2 linked regions of the Saccharomyces cerevisiae S288C genome follow. The protein of the gene in region 1 purifies or fractionates together with the protein of each later gene. This does not show direct contact. Each region holds a gene or a part of one and is shown on either strand. Other genes may lie near its edges.

Region 1 (3,891 bases):
GACGTTCTTTTCAGATGGTTACTGTCTTTTTTTGGAAGAAACAAAAGAAGGTACTTTTATGATGTTATACTAGGCAAAAAGCCTATTTAATGTAAGTCCTAATTGTCGTTTGAGACTGGATGAAAAGGGACAAAATGGAAGGATAACTAAAGGTGACTTACCGCCAGATTAATTCGGCCTGGAATAGTTTGATATCGAAGAAAGATTCACAATTAAATGGCGACTGACACCGAGAGGTGTATTTTCCGTGCATTCGGCCAAGATTTTATCCTAAATAAACATTTTCATTTGACAGGTAAGATTGGTCGGGGCTCACACAGCCTTATTTGTTCTTCAACTTACACAGAATCGAACGAGGAAACTCACGTGGCTATCAGAAAAATACCAAACGCGTTTGGCAATAAACTATCTTGCAAGAGAACTCTTCGTGAATTGAAACTACTAAGACATTTAAGAGGGCACCCAAATATAGTGTGGCTCTTCGATACTGATATAGTATTTTACCCAAATGGGGCACTAAATGGCGTTTATTTATATGAAGAACTAATGGAATGTGACCTTTCTCAAATTATAAGGTCCGAACAACGCCTGGAAGACGCACACTTTCAAAGCTTCATATATCAGATACTGTGTGCTCTGAAATACATACATTCTGCTAATGTTTTACATTGTGACCTGAAACCAAAAAACTTACTTGTTAATAGTGATTGCCAACTAAAAATTTGTAATTTTGGGCTATCGTGTAGTTATTCAGAAAACCACAAGGTTAACGACGGCTTCATTAAGGGTTATATAACCTCGATATGGTATAAAGCACCAGAAATTTTGCTGAATTATCAAGAATGCACAAAAGCTGTCGATATTTGGTCAACAGGCTGTATCTTGGCCGAACTACTTGGTAGGAAACCAATGTTTGAAGGGAAGGATTATGTAGATCATTTGAATCATATTCTACAAATACTTGGAACACCACCTGAGGAAACATTGCAGGAAATTGCCTCTCAAAAGGTGTATAATTATATCTTTCAGTTCGGTAATATCCCGGGAAGATCGTTTGAAAGCATACTACCTGGTGCTAATCCAGAAGCGCTTGAATTGCTAAAGAAAATGCTAGAATTTGATCCTAAAAAAAGGATTACTGTAGAGGATGCACTAGAGCATCCATATTTGTCAATGTGGCATGATATAGATGAGGAATTCTCATGTCAAAAGACCTTTAGATTCGAATTCGAGCATATCGAAAGTATGGCGGAATTAGGAAACGAAGTTATAAAGGAAGTATTTGATTTCAGGAAAGTTGTTAGAAAACATCCTATTAGCGGTGATTCCCCATCATCATCACTATCTTTAGAGGATGCCATTCCTCAAGAAGTTGTACAGGTCCATCCTTCTAGGAAAGTTTTACCCAGTTATAGTCCTGAATTTTCCTATGTAAGCCAACTTCCATCACTAACTACAACCCAGCCATATCAAAACCTTATGGGAATAAGCTCTAATTCATTTCAGGGTGTTAACTAAAAGGAAAACACCTTCAAACAAGATACTAAGCATGAAAATAGTGAACTACTGAACGGACCTACTGAGCCAAATATAACAAAAATGAGCCCAGTTTCATCGTCTCCCCCAGGTCACGATATAAATGTCAATGATGGTACAAACCAAAATACAAATGAGGATGACAGCGATTTTTTCTTCGACCTAGAAAAAGAACTTGAATTATTTAGACGATAAATTTTTGTAGCAGAAAACCACAACTAATAGATGCGCACATACACTATCTATAATGAATATGTAAAATGCCTGTTCACCTTCTTAATTATTGGTATATACTTCAAATATTGCAAAAAGAGAAAGTCCTCTCGGCGGTTTTGCAGTTCCTTCCGAAAGCGGGAAAAACCAAAATGTGAGAAAGTAGGATACACCATTGCGTAGATTCGCGATGATCCGAATATAAACATGATTCCCTCGTCAGTCCTCTCTCAAGTTTTCTTTCCCGTTTTAAATAGCTTACTAATATTTTCACAAAAAAGTTGATATCATTTAAAGGTGCTTTTGGCGGGATTGAATGATGAAAAGATTACACCCCTTGAGAATTCAAGTTCATCTGAAATCTGATTACCCACTGTTTACTTTCGAGCAATTACTCTCTACAAATGGGATAAGAAGAGGCCAAACTGCGAGAATTTCTTTGAAAGATTACATAGAGTGGCAAAATTTCCCAAACATAATGAAAAGAGAAAATTTTTTTACGCAAAGGAAGCCTGTAACTACAACCGCAAAAGAAGAACCCTTTTCATTTGATAACATTCTTGACTGTGAGCCACAATTTAGCAAATGCCTTGCCAAATGGCTACTGGTTAATTACAAATTAAATGACTATCCTTATTACGATCTTAACATTGTGAATATTTACACGGATTTACCCCAAGCAATTCAGATTTGCAAAAATTTAATGTCATATCTCAAGTCTACTTTATCTGATAACATGTTCCAGAAAATAAAATATTTCATGGTACCTCTATACAAGTGTGACAAAATACCTTCGAAGCTCTTAGACGGAATACCTGGATCAGTCAGTTTGGTACAAGATTATCCGGTTTCCCCATATTTTTTACAGAAAAAATTTCACATAGAGGATCCAATCCAAATTTTGATGCTTAATGATGTTATAAAATACACAACCCACGATTTAGTAAGGTACTCTTCAGATGACAAAGGGTGGCAACAGTGCTTTGTGGATATCAATAAGAATGGACAAAAATCCAAGAGCTTTGATAGCGCCATTGACTACTCATGTGAACTTGCATTAGAACAAATGTTCAATGATCGATCCCATGTAAGTCCTGGTAAAGAACTTTATATCCCCACTAAATTAATTGAGATATTGATGACAATCAAGAATAATATTCCAGAACATAGACTTTTCATTGTAGACACCCCGCAAAGATCGAGCCCAACAATAATATCGTTATTAAAGAGTTTAATAAGCCCACGGCCGACGGGATCTAGCCAGATAGTACAGCCATATTCGGATTCAATATTTTCAGACAAACGGAGTGGAAGAATATGCTTCATGACGGACTTCTTACAGTTACAGAACATTTATAATGGTATTAACAGTTCTTCTAGTAGCTGCGAAGTCGAAGACGTTGCTGATTTTGTTGAAAAATGGATTAGCCCAAGTGAGAGAAGCACACTTTCGTCGCAGAATGGAAATAGGCCTCAACTAGAAGACATAAAAAATAGCTCTTTGGCGGTGCTACACTCCACGTGATTTCTTTTATTTCGTTGAATTAAAATGAAGACGTTTTTTACAGTAAGCGACCTTAATCTTTGTTTCTATTATCTACACTTTTACGTTTAGTATATTCATTTCATAGGCAGTAGGCATTCTTTTAAGAAAAACATAGCGCGCATATCTTCTCCTCTTTTGTTTCGCAACTCCCAAACAAGATATCAATTTCCCACCACTCTAACGAATGCGAATAGTAACCCCATATTTAAATAATACTATAAGGGTATTCGTACGAGGTAGGATTTTCAGTAGACCAAATAGCCTTCAACGACATCATAAGTACACACTGAGTCTAAGCATTGAACTTTCATATGAATATATGGGACTATAAGAGATGGGTGTGAAGAGAAAGACAAATTTGGGTTGAAGAGTTATAATTAGCCTTATGCAGGTCTCGCTCGCATATTCTTAACTCAATAGGAGCAATTTCTTCCATAAGCTTATATCCATATCCGGTCATTTTCTTCATTTGTGCCTGTAAACGCATATGATTTTTTTTTCTTAGGCACGTTCTGCGTGAAAATTTCCTGTTGCGGATGAGTAAGGTGTTCGTTCTACTTCAAAACTCCGTCGCAAATTTAAGTTTAATCTTGTAA
Region 2 (3,517 bases), on another chromosome or scaffold:
CACGGAAATGCGAGTACTAGCAGAAGGACCTTATGGACAAAGCACGCGAACACATTTGTTCGAAAGCCTCCTGTTTATTGCCGGAGGGGCGGGTGTTCCTGGACCTCTGTCGATGGCAATAAAGGCAGGTCGCCAGGTCAAAAGCAACGATTCTCATCAAATGATCAAATTTGTGTGGAGTGTACGTAACCTTGATCTCTTAGAAGTGTATCGCAAAGAGATAATGGTGCTAAAAGAGTTGAACATAGACACAAAAATTTACTTCACAGGAGAGCGAAAAGATGAATCGAACACGGAGGAGGGAGCAATTGCTAATATGAGCACGGAAGGCAGACTGCTGACGACATCGAAATCAGCGGAAATGATTACTGATTTTGGACGACCAAATATCGATGAGATAATTGAAGAAGCAGTAAGTGGTGCAAAATCTTTGTTGGTCACTTGTTGCGGGTCAGAGGGCTTTGTAGACAAGACACGAGAGTTGACGGCAAAAAGAGTTCTTGAACACGGTGACAAATGGATAGAATACGTGGAGGAATTCCAGAATTGGTAGCATTTCAATCCGCCCTATCAATGCTAACCTGTTACGAATACCAAAACCACAAAAACACGGACCTTGTTTAATTACTGTATGAAATAACTGTACTCCATTAATATTCAATGCATTTAGTCCTTAAAAATCAGCGGGAATCTAATAAGCCGGCGAAGGTACTACACCTCACCCTTACTGTTATTTAAAAATCCTATTTGTGGGGATTTGCAATTAGTTTTCATCGCCAAATAACAATCCTTCACTGCACACCACTACTTAAAAAAAGGGTACATTGCTAACATTCTTGGTATGAAAAATTGCAGTCATTTAGATTGAGTTGGCAAAAATACAAATTTAACGCATGAGTATAAAATCGCTATTCGCTTTATTATTATTTCCTCCCTGATTAATAAATATCGAAGGGTAATCAGGGTTACGGGAACAGTACTTATCGGAGGAATAATAAGCAGCACCCTTTAGAATGTGGATCGTTTCAATACAGTCGCATCTGACATATACAGCGCCACTGTCGTAAGTTGTCAATCACGAGAACATAATCTTGAAACACGGATGGCTACATAGAGTTACCTTTTTCATCATGATATGAATTGATACTTTAGGCATGATAGAAAACAAAAGTTTTGCATTACATCAGGGTATCCAATTGAAAATGTTCTAGCTATTCATTTACCTTCCCGAAAAGCATTCTTCGAAGCTGCAGTTCTTTCTGCCATTCATCTCAGAACTGTCTTCGTTGCAGAGTCAAAGTTGCCACTTTTCTTCATTTATTTGATATAGAAAATGCGCAATATACAATCTCTCATTGCAGGATTGATATCATTTTTCCGAGGGAGCGATATTCAACCAGGTTTTGCCAGTCAACGGTGAAGGGTAATACATCAGGTAGGTTGAAAATTAGGCGAGTGAATTAAGAACTTTCTTCCTTTATTACTCTCATTCAATGCCAGTTCGATGAAAATTAGCGGGCAACGATACGCAAATGTCTCGTAAATACTTACGTAATAAGTTATTATTTAATCAAACTTCAATTCGCAAACAAATGAAGGTTACACTGTACTTGCATCACTTACAGTGGGTTTGAAGTTTCTATGATAGTGGTATCTCGAATTACTGAGAAAATACTGATAGTGAGCTCTTGACGAAAACCTTTCTCCCCGATTATCGCCTATGGTGTATGTCATAAAGGCTTATAAAAGCGAGGCTTTTCATAGAAATATCACTTCATTGTCAGCAACAGGGGCTCATGTTCATTCGTAAGCCTCTTAATTTTTCAAAGGCATTGTACATAGAAACAGCGAAAAAACTGTAGCAGCCACTTTCACTGAGCTACTGTATATAAGGCGGGCAGTAGAAACCAAGACATAATAATTCAAAGAAGAAACAACCAATTAACAATGCGTGGTTTCAGTGGTCAACCATTGAGTGATGATGATAATTATAGAATTGAAAAGACTCAAAGGAACACAATTCCTGAACGTCTCCATTTTAGCAGAGAGAGAAATATGCCCATTGCAAGTATATTCGGGACTAGAGGATATTTTGTATTCTCAAGTGAGCAATCCTATGACAAATTCAAACAGACAAACTTTAATATCAGTACTCTAGATGCGGATGGTGTAGGTGTTCCTCTTTTTCATATTGTCCAAAGTTATAACGTTATTGGCAAAATTACTCGGAGCTCGCCGGATTTCTATATCTACAAGTACGTTTTACAAGGGGTGCAAGATCCGCCTTTATACTCTGATTGTAAAGTTATTTGTCAAGATAAAGTTTTTCGTTTATGCAAAATTTTATATTGTGAAATTTATGCTCATCAAGGATTTTTTGAAACTAAATACGATTTCTTCTATCCTTCTAAAACGCAGCCGGTCAAAAAATACCAAATAATCAAACAAAGTAATATGCGAGATCTATATTCCACTTTGGACGGTATGCGTTTTCGTTGGCATGTGAAATTCTACAGCGATCATTTTCGATTGATGTTCCTAGATGAGGACAGGCTCAATTACTCAAATAGTAACCAAAAGGAAAGGCAAAAACCAGATCAAGGAAAAAGTAAGGCTCCAGATTTCGTAATTGGCCATTATACAAGAACTTTTTCCGATATACTCCCTAGATCCACGTCAAAATGCTCCAATCTTATTATTGGAGAACACTCAAAGCCAGACTCTCTTGGTATCACGACCGTTCCTGATTTGACTCAGGAATTTGCCTGTCAGGGAGCTTTAATCCATTATCTGCTGCATATAGAACGAGAAAGAAAATAAAAAAAGAAACAGAAACAGAAATAGAAAATGGTGAAGTAGGATACAATCTAGTGGCTTATTACTCAAGGATTTTTTCGCAATCCGTCCAATCCGAAAAATATAACTTGACGTGTAACACCCAGAGGAACGTTATACAGGCAACTGAGGTCGAATGAAACGAGATTACTCTTTAGGTTCAATTGAGCAGGCATTTATCCGAGACATTACGACCTAGCCAAATGAGATACATACATATTAGCTAGAACTTCGCATCACATATTTTTTCAATTTTTTTTCAATACGCAATTATTGCCCATAATTAATCTGAGGTTTTCATACTTATTGGCAATAGTAAGATCAAGGTAACGTTGTTTTTGGTTTGACTTTATACAGGATTTATTCCTACGTAGTCAAGATTATGGTATATTTTGTGTGCATTTTAACACCGGCGCTAGTACCAACATCTTTTTACTGATTGTATTCATAGAGTATCCTTTTAATATTACTTAGCAAGTATTTTGTAACAAATCCAAGCATAATATAACAAGCTCCGTCAATTGAACCCACCTTTTTAACAATATGAGAAGATACAGCTGTTTTTTCTCGAAATTGTTATCTAGAAGTTTATGCAAAATCAAAACTCTATCCAGAATCATCATCGGAGCTTTTTGAAATCCATAAATCTTTCTATCCAATAAGCATATTAAAGAAGTTATTG

The links.
Region 2: the proteins of YKL162C (region 1) and YOR385W purify together in Saccharomyces cerevisiae (affinity purification with mass spectrometry, with the first as the bait; one large-scale study listed by BioGRID). This does not show direct contact.

The regions. Positions count from the first base shown.
Region 1 is NC_001143.9:147,013-150,903, reverse strand, and holds YKL162C (type II protein arginine methyltransferase), read left to right. Parts: upstream 1-2,065; coding exon 2,066-3,274; downstream 3,275-3,891. Other genes in the region: putative protein kinase KDX1, read left to right, coding at 217-1,518. UniProt on the Saccharomyces cerevisiae protein: Arginine methyltransferase involved in the assembly or stability of mitochondrial NADH:ubiquinone oxidoreductase complex (complex I).
Region 2 is NC_001147.6:1,063,096-1,066,612, forward strand, and holds YOR385W (uncharacterized protein), read left to right. Parts: upstream 1-1,947; coding exon 1,948-2,820; downstream 2,821-3,517. Other genes in the region: FRE5 (putative ferric-chelate reductase), read left to right, coding at 1-553.